Neurospora crassa OR74A: one gene and its partners. The protein of the gene in region 3 purifies or fractionates together with the protein of the main gene of each other region. This does not show direct contact. Links are inferred from orthologs where the notes say so. Each region holds a gene or a part of one and is shown on either strand. Other genes may lie near its edges.

The links. Proteins that work in one complex are often made in the same cells at the same time.
Region 1: the proteins of NCU02162 (region 3) and NCU04817 purify together in Saccharomyces cerevisiae (affinity purification with western blotting; 3 studies listed by BioGRID, with this or other methods). This does not show direct contact. The link is inferred for Neurospora crassa OR74A from reciprocal best matches to the Saccharomyces cerevisiae genes SHY1 and COX15.
Region 2: the proteins of NCU02162 (region 3) and NCU16016 purify together in Saccharomyces cerevisiae (affinity purification with mass spectrometry; 3 studies listed by BioGRID, with this or other methods). This does not show direct contact. The link is inferred for Neurospora crassa OR74A from reciprocal best matches to the Saccharomyces cerevisiae genes SHY1 and COX1.

What each region holds. Positions count from the first base shown.
Region 1 is NC_026506.1:927,826-931,812, forward strand, and holds NCU04817 (electron transfer protein 1), read right to left. Parts: upstream 2,613-3,987; 5' UTR 2,505-2,612; coding exon 2,122-2,504; intron 2,051-2,121; coding exon 955-2,050; 3' UTR 655-954; intron 601-654; 3' UTR 501-600; downstream 1-500. Other genes in the region: NCU04818 (cation diffusion facilitator 1), read right to left, coding at 3,179-3,475, 3,532-3,851, 3,904-3,987. UniProt on the Saccharomyces cerevisiae protein: Catalyzes the second reaction in the biosynthesis of heme A, a prosthetic group of mitochondrial cytochrome c oxidase (CcO).
Region 2 is NC_026614.1:38,127-41,441, reverse strand, and holds NCU16016 (cytochrome c oxidase subunit 1), read right to left. Parts: upstream 2,175-3,315; coding exon 501-2,174; downstream 1-500. Other genes in the region: NCU16017 (hypothetical protein), read right to left, coding at 1-538. UniProt on the Saccharomyces cerevisiae protein: Component of the cytochrome c oxidase, the last enzyme in the mitochondrial electron transport chain which drives oxidative phosphorylation.
Region 3 is NC_026501.1:1,040,316-1,045,840, forward strand, and holds the start of NCU02162 (SURF-family protein), read left to right. Parts: upstream 1-1,931; 5' UTR 1,932-2,360; coding exon 2,361-2,658; intron 2,659-2,763; coding exon 2,764-3,282; exon of another isoform or gene 3,283-3,399; coding exon 3,400-3,505; exon of another isoform or gene 3,506-3,594; coding exon 3,595-3,694; 3' UTR 3,695-3,758; coding exon of another isoform or gene 3,759-3,930; 3' UTR 3,931-4,055; coding exon of another isoform or gene 4,056-5,525. Other genes in the region: NCU02164 (hypothetical protein), read left to right, coding at 1-191; NCU02163 (hypothetical protein), read right to left, coding at 802-1,332; CEN-T, read right to left, coding at 3,759-3,930, 4,056-5,525. UniProt on the Saccharomyces cerevisiae protein: Required for efficient assembly of cytochrome c oxidase in the mitochondrial inner membrane. Involved in a step that couples MSS51-COX14-dependent regulation of COX1 translation to early steps of cytochrome c oxidase assembly.

The sequences.
Region 1 (3,987 bases), on a different chromosome or scaffold from region 3:
CATCCAAATCCCGGCTTACATTTTGACAATGTGATATCGTGCATGGCTGTGTGTTTGGGCGTCGGGCATTCGAATTGTGCGATGATTATCGTCAGTTATATCTGGACTCGAGCTGTAAGTGGCCCGAAGGGGAAATCCGATGGCGAAATCAAGGTTCATTCGGGAGTTTCCGTTGCGGCACATCACCGAAACTTGGTATAATCCTGGTGTGTTTGTGGAAGTTGGGACATTGAATGCCATTGTCATTGGCGCCAGGAGTCCAGGACTTTCGGACTTCTCTCTAGTTTGGGTTTTCTTATCGATATGCACAGTATAATGTGACGACATGTCGGTCTTGTCGCACTGGCACTGTGAAGAGAACGTTGGATCGTGTGGACGGTTGGTTCGTCCCCCTCTCTCCCACGTTCAGGGGTAACAACACAATACAACACTCAATCTTTGTTTTCATCATCTGAGGACGAATGCCGGGCATTTGTGTAAGCTCGCCTCTAAGGACTCACTGAGTCGAACCGGCGAGACCTCCGTTGTCTTACCATTGGGGCATTCTGCAGGGTTCTGCCCACCACTTGGTAGCTGGTGCCACTGCATCGGATTGGTATCCTGCTCCCAACGTAAGTCAAAGATTCGAGACACCCCTGTCCTAAAGTGACATACGACAGTAGTGATAGGGCCTTTCAAGGTTCGGGAATTGAACGTGGTACACACAAAGATTATCGACTGCCGGGATCCGAAGCTGGTAGATGCTGGTTCAGGTTGTGCAACGCCATGTCTGATGAGAGCCTGTTTCACATGAAGGAATTGTCGCCAGGAGAAGAGTGGCATAAGAGTGGCCACTTCAGCCATTGTGTGAGGAGGTGCACGTGTATCCTAAACTCCTCGGGTATATCTAACCGCCAAAAATTTGAGATAATGTTACAGATATGTTACACGATATAGCATTTGTGCTTGTGCTGACTATTTGGGACCTTGAGTCTTGGCCTGCTGCGCCAACTGGGCCAGTCGTCTTTGGGCCATAGCTAAGGTGGCCTTGGGGATGCGAAGGCGCTGGCCAGCAACGAGAACTCCGGTCAACAAGGCAAGAGCGCCGGCCTGGTGGGCAGCAGCCAGGGGAATGGGAACCATGTAGATGAGGGTGCTGATACCGAGAGCAACCTGCAAAGAGACAAGGTGGAGAAGACCGGTGATTCCCTTGCGAGCAGCGGGGGGGAGGGCGGCCTTGACCCTGCCAGAGCGACTGTAGGCAACCAGGGCGCAGACAGCAGTGAAGGTGGTCATGGCCAGGATACGGTGGTCAAGCTGGACGAGCGAGGGGTTCTCGAGCATGTTGCGCCAGACCAAGTCAGAGCCATCCTCGTGGCGAGAGTAGAACTTGTCCAGAAGCTCGGACTTGGGGGGAGCGAGGCCGTTGCCCATCATCGGGAACTCATTGTAAATGAGACCAGCGTCGAGGCCAGCAACGAGAGCGCCGGAAAGAACAGTAGTGAAGATCAGAACAGTGAGGGCAGCGACGGAACCGCGAAGGACCCTAAGGGCAGGCGACTGGAGAGCAGTAAAGTTCTTGACAGCCTGCTCGGGGAAGTTGATGGCCTTGTGAGTGCGGAGAATGCTGAGACCGGCAAGGAGCATCCAGGAGTAGCAGACGAAGGCGGTAGCAAGATGGGCGGCGAGACGGTACTGGCTGACACGGGGGTGGGAGCCGGGAGCAAAGAGGTCATCCTTGAGACCGGACTTGACCATCCACCAACCAATGAAGCCCTGGAAGCCGATGAGAGCCGAGATGCCAACAAGAGTGCAAGCCATGCGAGGGGTGACGCGGCGGCGAGCAATGAAGTAGATGGTGGGGAGGACGAAGGACATGCCGATGAAGCGGCCCCAGAGACGATGGGTCCACTCCATGAAGTAGATCTGCTTGAACTCTTGGAGGTTCATGGTCGAGTTGAGCATCTTGAACTCGGGGGAGGCGCGGTACTTTTCAAACTCGGACTCCCACTCCTCCTGGGAGCCAGGCCAGAGGGAACCCGTGACGGGTCTCCATTCCGTGATACTCAGGCTGTGGAACGTTAGTAATTTGTGACAGGCTGAAAGAGACATCGAGGCATATCAAGTACTCGGGCCACGTACCCAGACTCGGTCAAGCGGGTCAGACCACCAAAGATGACGATACCAAAGACAGAAGCAGCGCTGGCAAGGAGCCAGTAGGCGACAGATTTCGAGCTGGTTTCCGGGAAGCTGGACTTCTTCTCGGACTTATCAGAGGACGGAGCGGGCTTAGCAATATCGGTAGCGAGCTTGCTGAGAGGGGATTCTTGGACTTTCTGGGTAGCATAGTTGCGGGACTGGGTGTGACGAGCCTGGCTCACCAACTTCAAGATGGTGGAAGCAGGAGTCGCAAGCTGGACAAGCTTTTGTTGCTGAGAGGCATTGAAAGCAGCTCTGGCGCAAAAGACGGATGGCCTGGACAGCTGGACAGCTGCCCGGCGTAACCCAAGCTGAAAGAAGGCCATGACGACCAAGTTGAGCCGACAATGGCAAACCACCCAAAAAAAAAAATGAGGTCGTCGTCGTCAAAAGTCAAAGTCGATCTCCCGAAGTCCCGGTGGAGTGAACTTTGTAATCAGGTACCGCGGCTGGTGGACGGGATGAACAGACTCCACTGCGCTGCCTGCCGGATGCGCGGGCCAATCGATCACGAAGCAAAAATCAGCCCACGTTTGCGATTGGATTGCACCACTTGGCCCAGGCTTCCTTTTCACGTATTTACATGGTAGCTTACCGTGAAAGGTAATTATCGCGTAACCTTGGCGGCAGCAATGGGCAGCATTCAACTGCAGTGTGCAACGACAACTCGCACTTTCCTCCTTCAACTTCAACATCTCACTGGCACGAAATCTCTGCACTTGCCGACTTCCTAGTTGAGTTTACATTTTCAAGTGTCAAGTGGTTGGGTATAGAGGTATCACTACGCCCATCCACATCGATATGAGTAGTTTTCTTCCTCAACAGGGCATTACCAACTCCATCTTGTGCGACCGCGACTGGCAGCATCGGCTTTTCCCTGTTTTCTCATCACCTCAATCAGAAAACCACGCTACAACTGGAAGCCATACACGAGTATCCAAAACTTTGAAATCTATTATCATTCACCGTACCCTATTCTCAACCTTGTTGTCCCTCAGTGTCACTGCCCGATTGACGCATTCGCCTCACCTTGTGTCATGGCGGGCTTCCTGAACAAGAGCATGTCCTTGAGACTCCTCTTGGGTGTCGGCTTCTCATATAATGGCTTGTGCTCCTCGTGGACGTTGTGCGCGTGCTCATAGTCGACATGTACAAATGCTCGCTCAACCAGCGCTAACCCTTCAAGCTTTCGTTGGAGCGTCTGACCGACATCATGAGAGATTCTCAGGGGTGTGTTTTCGTCCATCACAATGTCCAGCTCAACATAATAATGCTGACCAGCATGGTATGCCCGACACTGACCAACTTTTAGCCTCGAACGCCGTTACCGGGAAGCACTCGGGATCGACTCACCGTGTCGACCTTGACAATCCTGTCGTCATGTGTCATGGTCATATAGATGAGCTTCGCAATAAACTCCTTGGGCGCTGACTTGCCAACCAGAAGCCAGACTTGCTCAAAGGCATTTGAAGCCCACGAGAAGAGAATCAAAAGGGCTATCAGGATGGCGCCAATTGGATCAAGGTACCACACAAACTTGTCACCTACGATCGCCATCACCAACCCAAAGATGTTCACCACAATGTCGTTTCGATGGTCAACAAAGAAGACGTGCACTGTTGGGAACCTCCGGTAGAAGAGGCAGTAGATCATCAAGCTGCCCTTGGCAAAAACTGACATCATGTTAGGGTCCCGTCCCCATCGTTTTGAATGAGTGGTACTAACTGGCAACACCAACAAAGGTGAGCGGAATGATATGGAGACCCTCAGCCTCGTGTTCTCCTCCCGAACCCAAGTTACGCGCAGATT
Region 2 (3,315 bases), on a different chromosome or scaffold from region 3:
CACCTACACCCGCAGGTAATTCAAAATCACTATAATATAGTTCTCCAAAAATTCTAGCTAAACTACCAAATAGGTACATCAAGGTTCAAAGATGAAGATCTAAAAATATTGAAGAAGCTTTAGGAGCTTCTACTCCTAAATTGGACGCTTCTACTCCTAAATTGGACTCTACTCAAATCATATTAAATAATCTTAAGCCAAAAAAAGGGAAATTTTTTACCAAATTTTGAGTAAAAAATACCAGAGTTCATATCTCCTGATCATAACAAATATATATACCTTTAACTATTAACATAGTAGGTAGAGCAAAAAAAATAAATATTTTAAACTTCTTAATCATATTCATTCAGATGGCTTTAGATATTTCAGTAATACGAGATTTAGAAGGTCAGTTCCAAATAGATGCTTGTAAATTTGAGGTCACAAAAAGGTGAGGTTTTGGTGGTGTTAAAGTTAGTTTATGAGTTAAAAATTGGATGAAAGTTAAAAGTTCAAGAAAATTAATTTTGCCTCCCACTGATTTCTTTTTGTTCCCCATATGATGATAATCTAAAAAATGATAAAAAAAATGATGAAGATTGTAATGGAAGACTCACGAATGAATGAGGTTTAGGTGGGCTACTTATAGATCATTCTAAACTAGGATAACTTCTATTTAAAAGAGCACGTAAACTATCAGTATAGAATTGTGGGATTGATCATGGATATCTACCTGCGTATTCTCCTTGAACTAGTTGTATATACACAATATATAAGAATAATCAAGAAGCTACTACACTTACGATTGACCCAAAACTACTTATTAAATTTCAACCTGAAAATGCGTCAGGGTAATCACTTATTCTTCTTGGCATACCTTGTAAACCTAAGAAATGTTGAGGGAAGAATGTTAAATTAACCCCTATGAATAAAAGTCAGAATTGAGCTTTAGATAACACCATATTATAATTTAAACCTAATATTTTAGGTACTCAGTGATATCATCCGCTAAACATTGCAAATACAGCACCCATACTTAATACATAGTGAAAATGAGCAACTACGTAATAAGTATCGTGGAATGCTATATCTAAAGATGCATTCGCTAAAACAACTCCACTTAATCCCCCAATTGTGAACATAAATACAAAACCTAAAGCAAATAACATAGAAGGAGTTAATCTAATAGAACCTCCATAACATGTAGCTAATCATGAGAATATTTTAATTCCTGTAGGAACTGCAATAATTAATGTAGCTGCTGTGAAATACGCTCTTGTATCCACGTCTAAACCAACTGTATACATATGATGACTTCAAACAATAAATCCTAATATTCCAATAGACATCATGGCGTAGACCATACCAATATAACCGAATACTGATTTATTAGAATAAGCTGATATTGTTGTACTTATTATACCAAAACCAGGTATAATTAAAATGTAAACCTCAGGATGCCCGAAGAATCAGAAAAGATGTTGGAATAAAATAGGATCACCACCACCAGCTGTTTCAAAGAATGATGTATTAAAATTTCTATCTGTTAATAGCATAGTAATTGCACCGGCCAACACGGGGAGAGATAGTAATAATAATACAGCTGTAATAACTACAGCTCATCCAAATAAAGCTAATTTGTGCAATCTAATTCCTGGTGTTCTCATATTTACTATTGTAGTTATGAAATTAATAGACCCTAATAAGGAACTAACTCCTGATAAATGTAGGGCAAAGATAGCCAAATCTACACTAGGTCCACTATGACTTTGTACACCTGATAAAGGAGGATAAATTGTTCATCCTGTACCTGCTCCACCTTCTATACATGCAGAGAATACTAATAATAGTAAACTTGGTGGTAACAGTCAGAAACTAATATTATTAAGTCTTGGGAATGCCATGTCAGGACCCCCTACTAATAATGGTAACAAGAAATTACCAAATCCACCTATTAATGCTGGCATAACCATAAAGAAAATCATTAAGATCGCATGTGCAGTTATTATAGCATTGTATAATTGATTATCTGCAATGTACTGCACCCCAGGTCCGCTTAACTCCATTCTTATTAAAACAGAAAATGCTGTTCCAAGTAACCCAGAAAATAGCGCAAAGATTAGATAAAGAACTCCTATATCTTTAGCATTCGTTGATAAAAATCATCTTTCAGTTCAAATCGAAATTGACGACATTAACCCGACACTTCTTTTACTTGAATTTAAAGAGAGCCCAAACTCCTCACTATTTAATTGATTAAATAATATAATGGTTTTTATTATAATGGTTACGTATCTTATAAATAAAAATAAAATAAGATTACAACATCTTATTGATTATACAATCAATGCTAACCAGGATATTCTGTAAACCGACCAACAGAATATCCCCGGTAACGTAATTCTGGATCACCTACGTAGGTGATTGACTGACTTACTAAAAAACACACTAGCCTTTCAATGTTTTGTGGACTTTCTTTTTTTTTTTTTTTTTAAAAAAAAAAAAAAAAAAAAAAAAGGCGGAATCACGGCTAAATCAGTATTAGAACCAACGAAGTGCCTTGCTATATTAAGTCAGCTATCCAATATTCCATTAGCCTCATGTAGTAAATTAACTTTTCTCGCTACCCTTATCCACATATCCCCCCGTCCCCCCGCCCTGCAGTACTGCAGGGGGGGGAAGGGGGATTGTGAAGAGTGGATGAGCGCCTTTGGAGGAGCGCACAAGTTATTATTATAATTCATTTTGCTCCCACTTCTAAACCCCCGCAAGCTTGCGGGGGGTTTGTTAGGAGAGCCTCCGCTACGCGAGAAAATGAAGACTTATCTTATTATTTAACCAAAATATTAAAAATATTTTGGGAGGCAATTATTTTTTAGCTTCCCCCCCTGCAGTACTGCAGGGCGGGGGGACGGCTAAAAAAATTAAGCGAAGCTCGCCTCCAAAATATGTAGGTAGTGTATATAAAAAAAAAAAGAAATATTTCTTTACCGGTTTATTTCTTCATAATACATATTTTGTTAAGGCGGGCGAAGCTTGCCTCAGAATCACTCCGCCTTTTCTACAACATCAGTTAAGATACTACTTAGTATCTTATATTCCTTTGTAGCCTACAAGAGAAGATTTAGTTTGTATATTTTAGGGGCTAGCGAAGCTCGCCTCCAAACTAAACTAAACCTAAATTTATTTTACATACAAATAATAAATCGAGCCGCGAGGCGTCTTTTTATCATATATTTTTAAAAACAAAAACAAATATATGTTTTAGTGCTTAAATATTATTATTATGTACTACCCCCATATTATTTAAGCCCTAAATACAGATAATTACTCCCC
Region 3 (5,525 bases):
ACGGTCAAAAGTGCCGTCGCCGCGGTGGTGCTGGTTGCAAGCGTGCCCAGCGCCACGGCAAAGACGAAGCTGAGGCCCCTGTTGAAGAGAAGGCTGGTTTGTTGAATGCGCAGGAGCCCGAGGCTGAGGTTGAGGCGCCCCCGGCTTATGAGGATGCCAAGGTTGCTGAGGAGGGGGAGGTCAAGAAGTGAAGATTGACTCGACTCGAGTGTTCGGCATGCCGTTCCGAAACAACAGGATGAGAGGAAGTCAGGAAGGAAATCAGGAAGGAAGTCAGGAAGGGAGAAAGGATGATACCATACGTGAGATACCATACGATTTGTGGCAGCGGAAGGCTGAGATGGATGGTCAAGCTACACCAGATTGTCACGCACATTAAGCAAATAACTGACTAGGTACGCTCCTTGGGCAAATACCATTTCAACTTGTTTTACACAGAAACTGTTAGCAGACATATATGTCTGACCACTGCTAGCTCGCTTGGGTTGATGGGTGATACTATTGTCATGATGTTATTGTGCTGCTAGTAAGGTAAGATCATCATCTTTCGCTGAGCCTGTCTCTCTACCCTTGCCAGGGCGGCGGAAAAAAACAACAACAAAAAGTGCTAATGCGGTTGCCCGTAATCCAATTCTCTGCCTTGTCCACTCCTCGTTCTTCCCAATGATGAAACTGAAACCCCATATTCTGTTCGTCGCGCAATGCCAAATCCGTTGGTCTGTTGGTTAAGTAGTTACCTAATTACACGCCAACTTCTTCTCCAGTCGACGAAGCCATGCGAGTTTCTGTCTGTCCCCTTCCTTACACCATCCCCTGCCCCCTCTCAGTTCTAGCCCTTCTCCACCTTCTCGCCCACGCCGCAAGACCCTGGAGGGGAACTTTGATCATGACTTCGTATGCATCCTTCCAACCAAGTTCTTCTGGCTCTTCTTCCTCTTCTGGCTGTTTGTCGGTAGAGGTGGTGGTTATGAACTGTTGCTTTTGGCAGAGGTAGTTGAGCCTGTCGATGTCGAGCCCGGTTTCGAGCTCGGGGAGAAGGTTGAAGTTGATTGTGGCTGTGCGTGTTGGATTGAGGAGGTTGGGGGTGTTGTTGTTGTTGTTGTTGTTGTTGTTGATATTGTTGGAGGGGGTTGAGGAGTTGTTGGTGAGGAAGTTGGTTGCGTTGGCAGTAGATGATGGAGACACTGGCGGCAGTGTAGTAGTAGTTCTGGCTGTGGTAGGTTGAGCCGTAGCGGGAAGTGGAAGGCCGATGGCGTGTTGCCCTTGATGATCGGGTGCGGAGGAGGCGTAGCTCGACAGGGTGCTGAGGCTGCCAGCCCCTGGAGAAGACATCTTGGGCGTTTCTTGAGTCGAGCAGCTCTGTACTTATGGATGTGGTATATAGTACCGAGTATTTGATAGTGTTGTTGATGTCAAGTAAAACGAAGGAGGGCAGGCTACTAGAGGTTGGGCGGATCGATGTTGGGTTAGGTTTGTGATTACCTAGGTAGCGAGCGGGAAGCAGAAGATGGAAAGTGCACTTTCTTTCGAGCCTGAAGTGGTTTCCTTAGTTTTCAAGTGGTTTGAGAAAGCAGTAAGAAGTCTTGCTTTGATACACACGAGCGGGTTACCTCTTAGGTATGAAGCCCCAAAACGGGGCCTGCTCTATGCCCGTGAAGAAGCACCTGGAAGTATTTATTATTATTTCTTTTTTTTTTTATCTTCCGGACCTGGCCTGCCTTACCTTGTTTTGAAGCTGCATTCAGGTGCTTCACTGCGAAATCAGGAGGGGTGGCTAATCATCAGCACAGCCCCAGAAGCAAGGCTTCCACTTTACATTCAAATCAGCAAACGAATCTGAAGACTAGAGTTGTACACCACCGACAGTCCCAAGTAACACACAGCCTGGTGAATCTCACATCTATGGACCATCAAGGTGTTTGTCGTCCGTCTTCAAAATGACCCCCACGGTCCCTTAGCAACCATCCATCACTTACACGACCCCTGGTGCCAAGCATTGGTGGGGCGGCGCTCAGGAACTGCACCCAGCGGCCCCGGCCATTCGGATGGAAACGCCCCACACCCACACCCACCACCACCAGCGGCAGCGGGGCATCGCCCAGAATTGGACTTTGATCGGAGCAAAACAGCAGCTCCACCGAGAACTTTCCTGTGTCCGGCAAATGACGAAGTTTGTCCGCATCTTTCCCCAGCTCCATTTTCGTCACATGCCGCTGTTTATGGTTGCTCGTTGTTGTTGTTGTCGTTGTTAGCAGCAGCCTCCGATTCGTTCTCTCAGTCACCACCACATAACTACCTACAGTACCTATCTACCTCTTCGGCCGATCGATCAACCGACCGACGAAACGAACGAACGGACAATGGCGGCCAGCGGGAGCATATTCCAGTGCCTCCTGCGCACGTCGCAACAGAGCTTGGGAAAGAGGATAATCCTCCAAAGACAAACAGCAGCAGCCCACGCAGCAGCTGCGACGCGATTCACGACAGCTAGACTCGGCAGAAACCCTGCCTCTAGTCCCCGCCGCCAATTCACCACCTCGTCCACACGCCGACAGACTCAACAACCCGGCGATGATCCCAACTTTACTTCCATCCTCGATAACCCTCCCGAGCTTGTGCGGACCGGCAGGAGACATGGCAAGGGGTTGATTATCCTGGGTATGTCCTGATTGAGTCCCAACCATCTACAATCTCAGCATGCGCTATGCAGCCGTAACACTGACTAACGCATTTACCTCCTCCTCCTCCTCCTCCTCCCCACAGCCATCATCCCCATCACTGCCCTCTTTCTCGGAACCTGGCAAGTCTACCGACTAAAATGGAAGACGGACCTGATCGCCAAATGCGAGGACCGCATCATCCGGGACCCTCTCCCCCTTCCCCCCCGCGTGGACCCGGCCGCCATCGCCGACTTCGACTACCGCCGCGTCTACGCCGAGGGCGTCTACCGACACGACCAAGAGATGCTGATCGGCCCGCGCATGCGCGACGGCGAACAAGGGTACATGGTTGTTACGCCCCTGGAGAGGGGAGATGATCCGAGCTCCAAGGTGTTGGTCAACAGAGGGTGGGTGAGTAAGAAGTTTGCGGACCAGAGGAGCAGGCCGGATTCCGTCAAGCAGGGCGAAAAGGTCCGTGTGGAGGGCATGCTGAGAGAGCCGTGGAAGAAGAATATGTTCACGCCGGACAACAGGCCGGATATTGGCGAGTTTTATTTCCCGGATGTGAAGCAGATGGCCGAGTTGACGGGCAGTCAGCCGGTGTGGATTGAGCAGACTATTGGTGGGTATCTCTGTTTTCTTCTCTGCCAGTTTTGGACGTGGCTGGCCTGGCCTGCGTCCTATAATGGTATGATGGCTATTCTAGCTAGGTATGGTACTAACGTATGTTTGTGCGCAGTTCCCGATATTATCACCGTCTATGACTACGAGGCGCGTGGTATCCCTATCGGTAGAGTCGCCGAGGTCAACCTTCGCAACAACCATGCGCAGTACATCTTTACTTGGTATGTTCTTAAGCGATGCTTCACCTCCTTCCAATTCTTGACGTACCCCTGCGGTATCGCATATCAGTGCCCGACTAACTGGTACTTAGGTACGGTCTCGCTGCTGCCACCTCCATCATGTTCTGGCTCGTGGTCAAGAAGCCTGCGAACCAGATTACCAAGCGCGTTCGCATGAACAAGAGCTGGTAAACATGAGTTTGTGAGTGGGCAGTGATAGCTTTGCTTTGTCACACATCAATGGTAACAAACACTCTCACGTCACCTCTTCGTCTTCGCCGCCAACCCCAGCACGGCTAGAAGAGGCAGCCTTTCGGCGCTTCTTGACCGGAACAGGCGGCGTCATCCTCAGTTCCTGGAGGAGCTCTCTGGGAAGGTATCGTTGCGCCAAGGCAAACGGCGTGGTTTGTGCGTTGGTTTGACGTTGTCTATGGAAACAAAAATGTAAGTCAGTCCGTCGTGTACAATAGCTCGAAAAAAGTGTACAAAGAACACTACACAGGATATAAACAATCGGATACCCAGGGATCAAAGCAAAAGCGCCAAAACATACCTCTTCATCAATGTAAGCATATCACTCATATCGATAGTTTTGCGATGGGCGTGCTTTGCGTACGCCGACAAGTCATCTCCCAACTGCTCAAAGAACCAGTCCGAAGCCTGCATGATTGCCTTGAGCGCCTCAGGCGAGATGTTTCCCTTCGCGCCGCTCGTCTTGGCGAATGTTTGCGCCAGCCGCTTGATCATGGCCGGAGGTAATGATGTGTACTCGATGCCGTGTTTGGAGATCTTTTTGGTGGCTTTGATCTTGGAGAAGCCCCCTCGTTCACCACCCTCTTCCCGAAACAATCCGAGTTTCTCCCGCGCCGCCGAAGCTGAAAGTGATACCCTCGCCGCCGTTGGTGTGTAGCCTGATAATCTCGTCATCTCCTCATCCGAGCCTGCCTGGCCCTGGTCGTCTTGGTTGTTATCCAGATCCATGGCCATACCGTCGTCGTTATCATAATCGTCGTATGCTGGTCCAACATCATTTCCGTCATCGTCATTGTTGTCGTAACTGTCGCTCCTCTGGTCCATCAACTCCGCGAAACCTCCACCTTGGCCGCTTGTTGCCGCCGCTTCAGCAGCTTGACCCATCTCAAACTGCCTCGTAGGCGAAGCAATCATAAACGTGCTCTCGTCCATCCCCACCGGCACCTCAATGTGGAAATCACTATCCCTCCCTCCAGCTCCCAGCAGCAGCCCCATCCCTCCTTCCCCACCTATCGTCTCCCGTCTCCTCGTCTCGTCCGAGTCCAGCCTGCTAAACTCATCCGGTATCCTATCCTCGGCATTTCCAAAGTCGTCCTCATCAATTGCAGCAGGCGGAAAGAACCCCGAATCGATCCCATCACTCTGTTGTTGTTGTTGCTGTAGCTGCGGGAAATCACTCAACCGCCCCATCGAATCCCTCATCCTTTGTTGATCCTTCTCCGGATCCACCCGTCTCGGCAACTCGATACTCTGCACCGTAAAGTTCTCCGTCAGATCTTCGAGTCCTGCACTCCGATGTGGTTGCGGCAGTTCATCATCATCTTCCCAATCATCGCCCTCCCCATCCCCCACCCCTAAGCCCAAGCTGAGTCTCGGCCTCTTAGGCAACTCCTCCTCCTCGTCGTCCTCATCTCCATACCTACTCCGCGTGGATATGTCAAAGGTCAACTCCTCCGACGTGTCCCCCTCCTCTTGCTCTTGTCTTCCCCCAGCAGCAGCAGCAGCAGCAGATCCAGAAAGCGCCGAAGCAGGACTCGAACTACTACTCGGGATCCTCTCACTCTTGGGCGCCAAGACTTTGCCTAACTGCAGCAGGAAATTACGCGGGGTCTCGCGGGCTTCGCGCAACGAGCGCCGGCGCGCGTGGTGAGGCGTGAGGATGGCGGCGCGTCGGGAGTCGATGGCGCGGTAGGCGGCGCGGACGTGCGGGGTTGCGTTGGGGTTGGGAGTGTTGTGTGCGGAAAGGAGGAGGCCGCGGGGGGTGCGGGCG